3 linked regions of the Caenorhabditis elegans genome follow. The protein of the gene in region 2 interacts with the protein of the main gene of each other region in a pairwise test. Each region holds a gene or a part of one and is shown on either strand. Other genes may lie near its edges.

Region 1 (5,339 bases), on a different chromosome or scaffold from region 2:
AGAAGTTCCTATGTCAAACTGTAGCCACACACGGACTGTAACAGGGAATCTCAGGTCAAAACAGACCCCAGCCCAAATAGAAGTGGGGCATCACGTTGTGTCAAAGTGTCCCATTTTGGTTTGTTCTACGTAGATCTTCGAGAAATGCTGGAAAAGAGACGCAGACTTCTCGACTGATTTTGCATGGTTAAGAGCGTGCTGATGTCACATTTTTTGGGCAAAAAATTCCCGCAATTTTTGTAGATCAAACCGTAATGGAACAGTCTGGCACCACGTAATGCATTTCATATGTGGTTTTTGTGTTTTTTTAAACTGTTTTTGGCATGTAAACGCTGAAAAATTGTTAAGTTCTTAAAAAACAGTTTAATAAAACGTTAACCTCTGAACTAAATTCTTCACAGATTTGAAAAAAATAGAAATTTGTTTCGTAAAAAATATGAATTCAACGTAGTTTTTATACATTTCCTCAAACAATGGTTTTCAAATGTGATAGTTTCGACACCTTACTGAAAAGCTTCACTGTGTTAAAAAATTATTTTTGGCAAAACGGACGCTTTTATACGCCGAGACGCAGTGGTTTGATCTGAGCAGCAAAAACAAAAATTCAGCCTTTTCTCATCATCCGTTATTTAAAAGCGAAATGTTGCAACATTTTAATATTTTATTTTGAAATACCCTTTTTTCTCTGTAACTTGTTTGTTTTTTTCCACAGAAAAAAAGCCTGCAAAATGAAAAAGTGACAAAAAACTAATTAAACCCCTCCCTGAAAAAACCGATAACACATCTTTCCAAAATTCCATTTCGTTCCGTCACCCCTTGAGCTCATACGACCCTATTTTGCACAACACAACTACTTCCTCTTCGTGACGTCACACCCCACACTTTTTATTGAAAAATTGATGAACAAAAAATTCTAAAAATTTATTCAATGTTGTTAACAAAGTTGGAATTGTAGGTGGAGTGGGAACCCATGGGTTTCGTGTCAGAGTAACTAGAATATTGCAATGATTTGGCAGAAATTGCGAATTACTACATAAGAAAAATAGACATCGGGCTGGCTTGAAGTGTTGAAATCAGAGGAAAACGGGGATTTTTGACAAAAGTTGCTTGGGACCATGAAGTTTTTGTTTGGCATTTTTGTATCGGTATTAAATTTGAAAAATGAAAAAAAAACTTTTTTCTGGGAAAATTCTAATTAGCTACAATGTGAACGATTTTGCGATCATTCAAATTTTGAGTCGGACGGTAGTTTTTCTTGATGGGACGCTTCTCGATGTCCTGGACCTGACGGAACAACTCAAGTTGATCGTGGGTGACGGTGACTGGCTCGGTGAAGATGGTCCAGGTGACGATTTCCGAGCATGGCGGGGTGGTGAGAGATCCTTCGTATCTGAAAATCAAACAATGAATGCGACTGGAAATATGTTTGTTAGATCGTCTGAAATATTATGCTATTGCACCTGCATAAACTGTTCAGGCACTGACTTCAAATGTGACTATGAATCAGGAGTAATTGAAAAGTGTGAGATTTGAGCATTTGATCTCTGGCTTCATTATATATTTCAGGTTGGATAAACTATGTTGAGATCAAATAATCATATTAATAGCTGACATCAGTCACGCAAAACCTTTAAAAGGTTTCCCTGTTCCGATTCAATTTAGTATAAGAATATTCAGCTAAGATTCCTTGATCTTACCTCCAGAACGACCTCTTGTTTGCTGGCAGCTTCTCGGAAAGCCTAACATTCTCCACACGAGTCACTGTCTCCGGATTGCAAAGTTTTCCCAAAACACGCTCCTCATTCGACAACGCCTTTCCCTCTTTTCCAAGTTGAAGAAAAACACCAACAACGGCTAGCTTGCCGGGGTCTTCAACTCCCTGGTGGACGAGATGAAGCTCGGCCGGATAGCGGAGCCCACCCAGCGTGTGCTCGGATCCCTCGTTGTCATTCTCTCCCCAATGGAAGTGGTATTGCACGAGGCGGTAGACCTGATCAAGGCCGCCGCCGTAGATTTCTGGGTGTTCCGATCGCAGCTCCGGGGTCATTTGAACTGGAATAAGTAAAGTTAAGCTGAGTTATTTTGAAAAATTAGTTACCAGAATGTCCATTGTTCACAATATCTCCTTGAATAGGATGATCATAATTGACAAACTTGATTCCATCATGGGTATCCTTACGTTCAACCTCTCCCAAATCAATGTTGATTGGGGATTGATGCTGTCCAGTGGGCCAGCGATTGGGTCCTGGAATTAAATTTAATACCATTTGTTATTAATACAATACTTTTTTCGAGAAATAACTCAATCGTTATGTTTTTCTTTGCACGTGGTGTCAGACTGTCTCGTTGCGGTTTGATCTATAAAAAATGCGGGAGTTTTTCCGCCAGGAAAGTGTGACGTCAGCACACTCTTAACCATGCAAAATCAGTTGAAAAGTCTGCATCCGTTCTCCCGCATTTTTCGAAGATCAAACCAATATTGGGCACTCTGAAACCACGTGTTTTTGCGAATTTGGACATTCTAATACTTCTCAGTTTCACAGAGTTATTACTGAACTGAAAATGTTTATATGTAGCAGTCCATGTTATAGGGTGAAATTATCAATATAATTTAATTTTTGATCATTTATTCCTTTTACTGAGTAGATAAATGCTACTGAGCATAACTAATTTTCGAGACACTCAGTTAAGTTTTGAGTTCAAAAAACAGCTAATTTGAGTCAACTTACCACACTCATCATCATCGCAGTAGCTCCAGTGCCCTGTCATCTTTGTTGGAGACACTCTCTTTGATGTGGAGCAGAAAATGTGATAAGAGAGTTCTGCAATTTGAGATTCAATTTTATTAGCAAAAACGTGGAAAAGGGCAAAGAAAGATAAGACTTCCGGTTCAAACCACAATTTTCCACATTTTTTTTTCAAGTATTTCAACTCAAGAGTGTCACTGAAAATTGAAAAAAAAAGAAGAACATTTGGGAAAGGAATAAAAAGAGTGGAGGCATGCCGAAATAGGCGGGGCCTGGTGGGTACTGCTGAAGATAAAATTGAATAAGAAAGCTGAAGGATGGAAATGAAAATATTGTGTAGAGACGCTTCTTCTTTTTTTGTGCTGGTTTTCTACTTCCTAGTTGCTTAGCTCTCTACACTTCACAACGAAAATTTCGAAGAGTTTTGTTTTGTATATTTTGTGGACAAATATGTAGGAGCAAAATAGTTGGAAAAAATACGAACGAAATTTTTTGACAAGCCTCTGGAAAAGCGACGCATCTTCTTCGTCTCCAGCTGAAGATGACATCGTCTGTGTGTAGCTCTGTGTTGTGGAACGACGGGAAAGATGTTGTTTTGTTATTGCCCACGATGCCGTCCAGAAGATGATCAATGCTTTTTTAGGAGACGCGGGAAGCTAAGAGGTCCTTGTCCCCTCTTTTTCCGTCTTTCTCGAGTACCTAAGAATCATGAACTAAGCTTTAAACTTAAAAATAAGAACTTTTGTGCTTGTGCTTTTTAAGTCATGGAGGAAATTGTTTCATGACGATTTTTGGTAAAATTTTTTTTGTAGTAATTGAGTACAGATATAATTTTATTTTTTTAAAAACGGGTAAACAGTTTCATCGCCTAAAGATTTGCAATTTTTTTTCAAAAAGTTATCTTTTTTTTAAGCATATGATCAAAATTTGGAGCTACTTTACGAGCTTTGAACACTGCGAAAATGTAAATTAAAATTATTTCTCATCAAAATTTAGAGTCAGTTATGGCTGGTTAAATTTTTTGTGATAACCTAGTTCATTTTGGGCATTAAAACTGAAAATGTATTCTCTCAAAGTTTAGAAAATAACTTTGTATTTTTAAATATCAAAAACCAAAAATTTCAGCTTCTCAAAATTTTTTTCATTTTGCCAGCTAATTTCAAAACTTGATTTTTCAAGTTCATACAACAATTTCCTCATTGACACCTACCTACATTCACAACACATTTACAAAACACAACTCAAACCACTGCACCTGCATGCAATTTCTCAGGAAAAGCTGCTCGGGAAAACTTGAAAATTCTCACGACTACTGCTCAACATGAAGTGCAAAATGATGAGTGTTAGAAAAAAAGAAGACTGGTGGAAAAAAGAAGATGACGTCCTAGGAGCAGTTTTGAGTAAAATGGAGTGAAAAGTAGAAATACCTAGGGTTTTTGTCTCCTCTTATTCTTCTTCGCGCTTTTTTTCTCACTTTGAAACCAAACAAAGAAGGGTTCTAGGAATGTGAGTGGGTAGGGGAAGGAGGGAGAAAATGCGGAGTTAGGTTTAGAGTAAGAAATTATTAATATTTCTTAGAAAATATTGAAGCTCTGAAAACATCAACGATTTTCAATAATTGTTGGACATATAGTTTGAGTCTAAAACCGCAAAAATGTATCAGAATCATACAGTGCGTACAAGTTCTATACGCCACCCCCTAAATTTATGCATGTGGGCACGTCTGAATTTTTTAGAAGAATTCTGCTGATGCCATTTGATTCCAAATCCTAAAAAACCTATGAGCCTGAGTTTTCATGACCGTACCTCAAAAACTAAATAAATTAGGTCTCACATGAAAGTTCAAGACTGGAAAATTCTAAAAAGAGAAATGTTCATTTTCTCAAACATCAATGAGAAGCTTGATCAGCAAACATGGAAATTGAAGAAATTTGACCCTCCAAAAAAATCCTGATTCCCACTTAATGTTCAAACTTTAAGAATCGAAAAACAAGCGAAAATCAAGCAAATTCTATTGCAACTCGAAGTATTCAACTATTTTATAGCCCGACACGTGGTTCGGAGATTATCGAGTTTAGTGGTGAGAGGAGTCAGAAGCCGTGAGAGAGAGAAAGAGCTTTTCATATATCTTTTGATCTCGGAAATTGATGGAAGAGGAACACGGAACACTGGAATGCACGTTGGAATTTATGGAAATTTTTTGGAAAAGTTGTGACATTGTGGCATATGCATATTTAAATTTTTGGATAATCTCAAGTACTCAACAAATTGGGATTTCGATTGAAATAACCTGAAAACATTTTTTGCTCTTTTTTCAGCTTTTACGTATTTTTTGCGAGTGAGCCAAAATTGAACAGATGTTCACAAAACTGACACTTAATTATATTAAAACCCTTGTTAAAAATTACTTTCTATTTGAAACCCCAAACTATATCTTTTTTCAGAGATGTCTTGAATACAAGTTCAAAGACTTATTTTCCCTTATCAGATTATCCTAAATTATATATTACATATATTTTCTCTTGAGGGGGTGTCTAAAAAGTGATCTCCCATCAAGTGCTTCTTTGTCATTTTTATTCTCTTCATATTTTT
Region 2 (4,815 bases):
TTTTTAACTATTCTTTTAAAACATAGGAGCAATGTTTTGAAGAATAGTCTCAAATTTCACCACACCGCCTTTAAATACATGTACAAACCAAACAAAATCCAACTCACTCCACGTATAAAAAATACTTCGGATATCCGGACACGTGCAAGAATCTGAACAACCGTGTTCGGCAAAGAAAATCATGGCCACGACAGACACAAAAACCACAAGGCTTCTCATTTTGCGAGAAGTGTGAGGGATCTGGTGCAGTTTCTGGTCTTTTATTAGCAAATTACATGCAAATTTTGTGGACTGGCATGCAAATTACATGCAAATGAGACTTCCACATATCAGGCAGGTCTTATGCCACGACGTGTAGGAACATCCAGAGAGTTCCGGCCGTGTCGTTGTGATCCGCTGTGATCGGCTCTCGATTGTTGTAGCGGACACGTGAAAGTTTTTTGCTTACGGTGCCAGATTTCCGAAGATGCTGATGTGAACATAACCCAAATATAAATTGTATGCGTGAAAAATTAAAGAAATAAACTCGTCAGTGTGAAATGGGGAGTTACAATTTTTAAAAAAATTCAACAAAATTTAAAATTTGCTAGTCTTCGTATTTGAACTTGTAATCAAATCTGGCTTTTGAACTGATAATGTGACCATTTTATTTTATTATATACTTATGGTTTTAACTATTCTTACTAAATTTAGCAAAAAGATACGACTTCCGGCATATAGTGCCCTAAAAAATAAATTAGAGCAGAAGTAGCGAGGCATCCAAATATGAATATTGTCAGAGACATTATGTTTATTTTTAAAAAAAAGTATTATAATTACGCGTTGCTTTGTTATACATATGTAGTAAAGAACGAGAAATTCAATTGTGTAGCTCAAACTTCCAGGTTGTTGTAGCATGTTCTCTGAAAATCTCAGTTCAACTAACTTCACTCAAACTTTCAACCAAACCTTCAAGTTCTCCAACTGATATCGGTCAGCCATCTGCATTTTCTTCTTCAGCGTCATCTTAGAACCTCCTGTTCTGATCAAGAAATCCTCGCAGTTCTTGGTGACCATCTTCGAATCGTACATATCCACAATGTGGAGAACTCCTCCCACTGTTTCATCTGGAAAAATAATCACGTTGACGTTCGCGAATGAAGTTCGTCTAGGCTAAAAATCAAAACTGTGATAGCCTGGTGGTGGCCGTAGAGAACTTCTAAGAAGTTCTGGAAGTCGTTGGGATCGATAGAGTTGAGAGTGACTTCGAGGCTTTTTCCTTCTTCGAAGTCGCCAAGAAGCAGGGCTTTGAAGTAGTTGGACTGGGCAGCGAGGTACTGAAAATAGTCTAAAGTCAGAGCCTAAAGTAGACTTGACTCACCGTTTTAAGCACGTAAAACTTAACATCCTTCACCACCAGCACAACATCCGAAAACTCCTTCATAGATTCATCAAAGTTGCGGAGCTTCTCCTTCTTCTCGAACCCACTAGTGTCGAGGATGTGCGCGCAAACTTCAACAACCAAACAATCCTCAACTACAAGCTCCTTCACCAATTTCTCCCATGGAAAACAAAATCCGAAGCCGTATTTCTGTCTCTCGCCGCCCAGCAAGCAAACTTCTGAGCTTTGCGATATGCTTTCACCAGTGGGTCTCATCAACTTGGTACTGAATTGTATGTGTACAGATTGGTCAGTTGTACGTGAGGCTAGAAAACTGAAGAATACATGTAGTTGGGTTCCTTCGCGCGCAAGCTTGATCCTCCTGGAAGTTGGTGAGTTGGAGAACTGTGGTAAAGTGTAAAGGATATTTCGGAAACCCTACAGTAACCCGACAGAGCCACTAAACTAACCAGGGGAATCCAAAATACTGCTCTTCTGGAGTTAGACGGACTTCTTCTTTTTCAAAGTGGAAATATTTTTCACTTTTTGAGTCATCACAAATTCTTTCGAGAAAGAACTCATTTTTCTAGATAATTAACTGGATAAATGGAGAAAATCAAATATTGCGATAAAATGAAGAGGCTGAGAATGGTCCCAACGCGCTATCTGAGAAAATTATGATGTGAGAAACCAGAGACATCGACGCTGCCCTGCTACCGCAAATTGGATCGATTCTATCCAAATAGCGCCTCTAGCGAACCGAATCATTGTTGGATTCATTTATTTCATTGTTTTTTCTTGCAACTGAATTACTATGTCCTCTCTGACCAAACAATTCGTGATCACCCAATCCGTCAAAAATGTCTCGAGCATCGCAGACGGAGGTGAGCACGTCACCCCATCGGAAATTCATTATGGTACTGAGTGGTAAGTGATTCAATATTTTCGTTCAGATTTTCATATTAAAGCTGGAGTAGCGCCAGTGCGGATTTTGTCTAAATGCACTTATAATAATACAAAACAACCGAATATCATAATAAAACAGTCCAAAAAATTTTAGATTTTTCATAATTTCCGGTCAAAGTTTTGGCAAATTGGCAAAATTTTTAAAAATACGAGTTTTTGAGGAAATCTAAAGCAATGTTGCATGTTTCGACCCCTACAATGTTTTAGTACAAACATTTTAAACAAAATTAAACATAAAAAATGTCGAAAAAAAATATTTTTTGGTTGACTTCCAAAATTATGAGTGGCAAAAACAGAGTAATTGCCACTTTTTGACAGTTAATAAAATATTTTCAAAAAATTTTTGAAAAGTGTTATCATGATATTTGGTCATTTTGGGGCCAAAGGAGCGGTTTTTAACAATTTCCTCACTGGAGCTACTCCACCTTTAAAGATCTACTCTACTCTCTAACCTTTGTGTGTTTCAGGTACATGCGGATCAAACGGGATAACGGATTCATGAGTTTCGGATTGTATTGTCCAATGACTGGAAAAACTACCAATTGGTCAATTGTAGCTGATATCAGGGTCGAACTAATGCCGTTAACTGGAATGTGGAAATCAGTAGAATGCGAGTGCAAAATAGCCAAATCACCCAGCCTCATCAGTGAAGTATTGCGGTCGACCATAATGCCTTGGGGCAGAATGATGACAAATTACGTAGTTGATGATGCTCTCATGATTGAAGTTTTTGTGACAATCAAATCCATGACTGGATTCGAAAGACCGTATAACCTCCGAAGCTTCGACGAATCAATGGAAGAGTTTTCCGACGTGGTTCTTCTGGTTGGGGAGAAGAAGTTTTATGTTCTCAGAAAAGTGAGGCTTTTTTCTTCAGTTGTACAAGCTGATACATTTTAAAAATTTCAGTACCTCGCTGCCCAGTCCAAGTACTTCAAGGCTCTTCTTCTTGGCTCCTTCGAAGAAGGGAAGAGCTCCGAAGTCACCCTCACTAGCATCGATCCTAATGACTTTCAGTTCTTCCTGGAAGTTCTCTACGGGGATTCAGCTATTAATGGTGAACAAAAAACATTCGAATTGACCTAAAATAAAATAAACATTTTTAGATCTAACCGTGGAGGGCATTCTTCATATTGCAGACATGTATGACACACCGATGGTCGTTCGAAAGTGTGAGGAGTTTTTGATTAAAGGGACAAAGTTGCCGGCGAAGAAGAAGTTGCAGATGGCTTTTAGGTACAAAATGGAGAACTTTATGGTATTGTTTTTTGGTAACATACAACGAAAAGTATTCAATTTTTTCAGAGAAACTACTACGCTGAACTAGGAAATTGACATTCTACAGTTCTATTGTTTCTAAATCCCATTGGAATTTTTTTTGTTAAATTTAATTTTTGAACCTGAATAAATGAAAATATCGTATTTAATTTCTCATATTTGCACGTGGTGATATTTAGGCTGTCCCATTACGGTCTGATCTACAAAAAATGCAGGATTTTTTTTGCGAAAAAAATGTGACTACATCTCGAAATGTGTATTAAAACTTATCTTATCCGCAGGAGAAGCTAGAAAGGACCTGAGAAAGCAAAATATCTGCAACTAGCGTGCCAACGACAAATGTTTTGCCTTGCTTCAGCGGGTCTGCCGTGTCGCACAGGTTGATATTTTCAAAGTTTAACATAATTTTATGTTCTCTAGAAAATTGTGAATAAAACCTGTGTGCTTTAGCTATATTTAGAAAGTTCTATCAAATTTTATAGGCGCGAGAAGTTGTCACCATAATTATCCCTATATACCAATCTGGACTTCCTTGTGATTATACATATGATGTTTATATACAATAGGATATGTGCAATACATAAGAAGAGTAATATAGGAAGTGGGGTAACATAAACGTCGGGAGCGGAGCAGTAGGGCGACACACCACAGTGGCATGTGGGCCCCTGCACTTAAGGGCGGGCCGCCGTGGAAGTAAATGAAGAAGGAAGATAGGCATGCCTGATAGGAGGATTGTTATCGTGTTCTTCCACAATATCTACTTGGCTCACAGCATCAAAGTAACTATAGTTTTAGAACATCGTTTTAACTATTCAGAGTTTTCAGTTGCTGTTCATAATTCGGAATATATTTCTTTTGAATAACTGTAATCGTTTTCAACCAATAATAGTTTTTTAACTTCTGAGAAGCATTGAATATTCCATTAAACTTGCCATAGCGAATTTCAGGTTTTGAAGCTCAAATACTTGACTATATTTTCATTATACCTCTCCTTATCACAAGACTTTTGCAGGTCGTTTCTGAGTGCCTCGGAACTGATACAGACTAAAAATTGCCGGTGCATTGACAGAATGAGAGCAGCCTTTTGGAAACAGGTGCTATCCAGAGCTGCGCGACAACTGAGTTCGGCAAACAAACAAAGCTGCTCATTTCAGAGTAATAATCCAATTTTTTAAGTGAAGAATTGGTACAGAAATGTAGTTAAATACTTG
Region 3 (5,766 bases), on a different chromosome or scaffold from region 2:
TTTTTCATTTTAAAAGCAAGGGTATCGGTTTTTCGATTTTTTGAAAATTGAAAAATCGAAAAATTTCGTTTTTTCAAAAAAAAAATTTTCGATTATTCAAAAATTAGCTTAATATTTTGGCCATTATTCTTCTTTTTAGAACATTTTTTTATGTTTTTTCTTATCAATATAAGCAAAATTAGATTTTTTAAAAAATCGTATTTTATGGTTAAATTTCTGAAACAATTTTTTTTCAGATTTTTCGATTTTTCTATTTTGCATGAAAAACACCGAAAAAGCGGAAAACGCGAAAAACGCGAAAAAATCGAAAAATGCCTGTATGTATGTAAAGTATGTAAACTTGTATGTAAACTTGTATGTAAAGGTGTCAGTTTTTCGATTTTTTGACAAATAAAATTGAAAAACAATATTTCTTCGATTTTTCGATTTCTGGAAAGCAAAAAATGTTCGTTTTTCGATTTTTTTCGATTTGTCAAAAATCAGCTTAAAATTGTGATCACTTTCTTCTTTTTGGAAGTTTTTTCTCAATAATATAAACAAAATGAGATAAAAAATCGAATTTTATAGTTAATTTTCTGATAAATTCTTTTCGGATGTTTCGATTTTAGTTGAAAAATATCGAAAAAATGAAATATTTTTTCGATTTTTCTAAGGCTTCCATGTGAGAGCGGCGCGGCGTCGGCGCCTCACGCCGGCATCACGCCGGCCGGCTTTCGCCTTCGCCGCTTTAAAAAATTTTGACGTGAATTCTATATTTTCATTTTTAATAATTTGTTGAAATTTTAGAAAAAAAACAAGAAATGAAAATAAAATTTTACGTTTTTTTTTCAATGACGGCGATAGTGGCGACGTGAGGCTGTTTGAGGCGCCTCACCGGCCGGCGAAGGCGCCGGGATGGAAGCCCTAGATTTTTCATCAAATCGTGCTCATTTCTATTAAAATAAAGTACAAAAACATATGAATTTCTTCAAAAAATCGGGAAAAAAATTTATTTTTTAAGTTAAAAAAAATAAATTTCCATTTTTCGGTTCTCCTCGAAAAACCTGAAATTTCTCCCAATTGTTCAACAATTTACTGTCAAAAATATCTAGAAAAAATCTGACCAAAATTAATTTTAAGATTTTTTTAAATTGTTTTTTTTTTCGAAAATTTCAAAATCCAATTTTTTAGCGCAGCTACCAACAATATTTATTTAAACTGACCATTGGCGACGAATGATTACTGATGAGCTGCTTCTGAAGATGCTCCACCATGCAAAGAGCAACTACATCGTCCAGTGGCTCACCGCCTGGAAAAAATACATTTTTTAAAAATGAAATTTGATAGCATTTCAATTTGTTTTACGGGTAAAACTACTCAATTTTCATGATTTTAAAAATTTTTTCAGTAAAAATCGCTAAAATTCGCTGACATTTTTGAATTAATTAAGTTGAAATCAATTTTTAATTTCAAAAAAAAAAGCCCATACTATCTCCTCCAATACTTGAAACCAAATAGTTCACCGCATAGAGATGTTCTCCCGCTTTCTGTTCCTCTCGTCCTCCGGTTCTGGAAATTCAAAATTTTATTTTTTTTTTCAAATTTTTTGCTCTGAAATTTACAGAATTGTTTGGAAAACCGTGCAAAAATGTGATAAATATTTGAATTTATCTAGGTTAAAAATTTGAAAACAAATCCGAATAAATTGAGTTTTTGATTTATAACTTTTGATTTTTTTTTTCGAAGTAGAATATATATTTTTCTAACGATTTTCGGATCTTAAAATTGAAAATAATTCTGGAATTGAAGAATTTTGTTTATTAATGGTTTTTGAATTCCCGCGCAATCTAATTTCGGCATTTGAGCGTTTTTTCGGCTATATTTATTGGTTTTTATTAATTTATTATTATTATTATTATTATTTGCTTTTAAACATATTTTTCGTGTTTTCAGTCATTTTTTTTCTGTTAAAAAAACGGCTGAAAATTTAAAATTTGTCTGAAAATCGATAATTTAGCATTAAATATTTTCCGCAAAAGTCTAATTTTTTGCTAGAAAATCGATTTTTAGACAAATTTTAGGGTCTCAGCAATTTTTTTCGGGGTAAAATGTCTGAAAATGAAAAATTAAATTAAATTTTCCTAATTAGTTTTTTTTGCGAAATTTTCTCAAAAAAACCATTTTAAAAATTTGGAAAAATTCAATTTTTTCCAATTTTTTGAATAGAATTTTTTGCCGTATTTTTTCCGAGTTTTTACTCAAATTTTGCGAAATATTTCCAACCTAACATGAGTGGATTGATATCCAACTCTTGTATTTGCAATATCTGAGGCCAATTTATCAGCCAAAGAGCACACGTGACGAACTTCTGAAGAAGCTTCTAGAACATCTCGATACCGACGGCCGACCATTTCACGGAGACTTTCTCGTTTTCCTTCCATTTCTTTTCTGAAAAAAATGTTTTTTTTTCGAAAATTATCGATTTTTCTGAAAATTATCGTTTTTTTAAACTTATAGCTTTCTTTGCTGGAAATTGTGGAATTTTTACGATTTTTTGACTTTCTCAATATATTATTGAATTTTCTGAAACCTATCGTTTTTTTTTTGAAAATTATAGCATTTTATTGGAAATTATCACTGTTTTTTTTGAAAACTAAGGATTTTTTTGGAGATTATCGTGTTTTTTTTTTGGAATTTACCGATTTTTCGACTTTATAAAAAATTAGTTTCTGAAAATCAGCGATTTTGATTTTTTTTTTGGAAATAATACCTTTTTTTGGAAACATTATACGCTTTTTGCACTTCAATTTTAAATGAATATTTTGAAATTTTGATGTGAAAATTTAAAAAAAAATTGTTTCTCATGAAAAAATTGAATTTTCTATTTTTTAAATAACACTCTGTTTAAAAAATCCCGAAAAATCTTATTTTCAGCCAATTTTCCCGAGAAAACATTAAAATTTCTTAGTTTTGCTTTTTTCTTAGCTTTTTCGAAGATTATAGCCCTTTATTGAAAATTATCACTTTTTTTTTGGAAATTGTTGATTTTTCTGAACTTTTTGAAATTTCAATTTGCAAATATTTTTCTCGCGAAAAAAATTGAAATTTCTATTTTTTAAATAAAATTTTGTGAGAAAAAAAAATACTTTTTCAGCCAATTTTCACCAGAAAACATTAAAAATTTCTAATTTTCAATTAATTTTTGTTTTAAAAAATTAATTTTTTTCAGCAAATTTTTCCGATTCCTCATTTTACAAAAATTTCTTCAACACATCCACGTGTCGATTTACGCAGCCCTCGTGTACTCCACGAGGAGAAGCTTTTGTTTCGAATTTTCTCGAATTCCCGCTTCTCTTACTCCAAATTCTGCTGAATATTCTCCAGTTGCTCGACCGATAGGTCACGCATGAGCCGGTCAACGTCCATCTGAAAATTTCAGATTTTTTCTTTTTTTTAAATTAAATTAGAAATATCTAGATGAAATGAAACATTTTTCGAGTTAAAAATTGAATAGGATAGCTTGGAGAAATGTGTTTATGCTGAGAAAAAAAAATAAATTTAAATTTAAAATTAAAATTAAAATAAAAATGATACACAAATCGAGAAATAAATAAGGAAAATATGGAAACTGGGATCAGCGAAAGTATGGTTTTTGGTACATGACAATTAGAGAAATGAATTGGATAACTCGTTGGCTCACAATCAGTTGATAGGAAGAAGGATTGATGGGCTCAATGAGCTGCATCTCCAGCTTTTCCGGCGACTCTTTTGAATTCGTTCATGTTGAGAGCAGACAGAGGTGTTCCGAAGACTGTAAGCTTGACGAGCTCAGTGACCTGGAAAAAAGGAAAAAATTGGAGGAAATTGGAAAATTATAATAATTTTGCTCTGAACCAGGGGTGGGCGGCAAACGATTTTTCCGGCAAATTGGCAAATGTCGAATTTGCCGGAAAAACGGCAAATTGCGGTTTTGCAAATTTTTTTTTTTGGAAATTTCAGAATTTAAATTTCAATCGGCAAAATTGTACGCATCCTATGAATATTTCTACATTTATTTTGAAAAGTAGGCAAATTCTATGAAAATATCTAAAGAAAATGGGGAAAAAATTTCAAAAAGGCATAGTTTTAAGTTTTTCCGTCTTATAAATAATCCCTCTAAAAATTTCCGGCAAATCGGCAATTTGCCGAAAATGAAAATTTACGACGAATCGGCAAATTGTCAGATTTAAAAATTTCTGGCAAATTGGCAAATCGGCAGTTTTCCGAAAATTAATATTTACAGAAAATCGGCGATTTTCATAATGAGACTTCCAAAAAAAATCCGAAAAATTGTTTTGCAGCTCAAAAACTAAAATAATATCGGAAAAAAAACCAAAATATTGTTAAAATCCGAAATTTCGCCGGAATACATTTTATATTAAAAACAATTTTTCAATATTTTTTAAATGGCGGTTTAAAATTTCGAAAAAAAATTTGCTAATTTTAGCTAAATTTCAATTTTTTTTTTTCAATAATGTCTGAGAAGTTTCTTCACGAAATTCGTTCATTAATAAAGCGAGTTTTCGTGATTTTACTGAAAATCTTTAATTATCTTTCTTTATTTATTTAATACGTTTATTAAATAAATAAATAAAAGCATAATCAATAGTTTTGGGTAAAATTTTAGTAAATTTAAATGTTTTCAAAGTAATTTTTATCGAAACTTACATCTCCTCCACCGACATTATTCTCAATGAAAAATTGAATATTCTGAACATTCTGGAACTTGACATATTTCAACGCGACGACTTGTCCGTGCCCTTGAATAGAAGATTCATCAAATTCCAACATTTGAGTTGGCTCCAGAGCTGTTGCATTATCGAAATCCGTAGTTTTCGGAAGATTAATGAACACTTTGACCTTCTTTGGAGCACGATCCGATACTCCTTTAATAAGAATTGAATGAACTTTGACTGGTTGATTAAATGGAAGTGAGATGATCAATTGCTCATCACAATCTGAAACCAGATTGCAGTTTCCTTCGAGAAAACGTCCCAGTGGAGTATCATCAGATTCATTCAAACATTCCATTTGTTTCTTATCGACAAGAGGTGTCAAGTCCATTTGACCAGCAACCAGTGAGTCGGCTGCCGAGTTGTCTGCGTACTTTTTCACCATTGTTTCCAGTGCTTTTGCATCGGCTCCTTTCATTTGTTCCACGCGGACTCTGCAAATTTTTATTTTGGGGAGTAGAGTTTCTGAGGTGGGCGGATATTTTTTTCGGATATTTTCTAATAATGAATTTATCAATAAGTATTGATGTAGTTATTCTGGAAGAAATGTAACCAAATCAAAGAGTAACTATTAAGCAACATTTTAATATGATAAAATCTAGAAAAATTCTACAAGTTTTCCTTACCGAGACCTTAAAACTTATTAGCCGAGCAACATCGGATATCGGATATTACGGATATCGGATAATGGACTTGCATATCGTTTATACAGAAAACTTGTAGAATTTTTCTAGGTTTTATCATATTAGAATGTTGCTTAATAGTTACTTTTTTGTTCGGATACATTTCTTCCTGAATAACTACATCAATACTTATTGATAAATTCATTATTAGAAAATATCCGAAAAAAATATCCGCCCACCTCTGTAGAGTTTGTGGGTATTTTGCTTAAATAGACTAAAACTGGTCCAAAACCACCGAATTTCATAATGAGACTTCACAAAAAATTTCCAAAAATTTTTTATGGCTGGTCAAAATTTAAAAAAAAAGAGCCAAATTTTGCTAAAATCTGAAA

The links. Proteins that work in one complex are often made in the same cells at the same time.
Region 1: the proteins of sdz-18 (region 2) and cah-3 interact in a two-hybrid assay, tested with the Caenorhabditis elegans proteins (one large-scale study listed by BioGRID).
Region 3: the proteins of sdz-18 (region 2) and cogc-1 interact in a two-hybrid assay, tested with the Caenorhabditis elegans proteins (one large-scale study listed by BioGRID).

Annotation. Positions count from the first base shown.
Region 1 is NC_003284.9:16,484,964-16,490,302, reverse strand, and holds cah-3 (Putative carbonic anhydrase 3), read right to left. Parts: upstream 2,823-5,339; 5' UTR 2,770-2,822; coding exon 2,730-2,769; intron 2,246-2,729; coding exon 2,099-2,245; intron 2,053-2,098; coding exon 1,698-2,052; intron 1,391-1,697; coding exon 1,192-1,390; 3' UTR 906-1,191; downstream 1-905. UniProt on the Caenorhabditis elegans protein: Reversible hydration of carbon dioxide.
Region 2 is NC_003280.10:1,703,836-1,708,650, reverse strand, and holds sdz-18 (BTB domain-containing protein), read left to right. Parts: upstream 1-2,165; 5' UTR 2,166-2,174; coding exon 2,175-2,287; intron 2,288-2,793; coding exon 2,794-3,184; intron 3,185-3,235; coding exon 3,236-3,383; intron 3,384-3,432; coding exon 3,433-3,584; intron 3,585-3,631; coding exon 3,632-3,661; 3' UTR 3,662-3,745; downstream 3,746-4,815.
Region 3 is NC_003279.8:3,231,030-3,236,795, reverse strand, and holds the start of cogc-1 (Conserved oligomeric Golgi complex subunit 1), read right to left. Parts: upstream 3,406-5,766; coding exon 3,338-3,405; intron 2,428-3,337; coding exon 2,263-2,427; intron 1,549-2,262; coding exon 1,469-1,548; intron 1,289-1,468; coding exon 1,203-1,288; intron 1-1,202. Other genes in the region: txl-1 (Thioredoxin-like protein), read right to left, coding at 3,711-3,815, 4,687-5,185.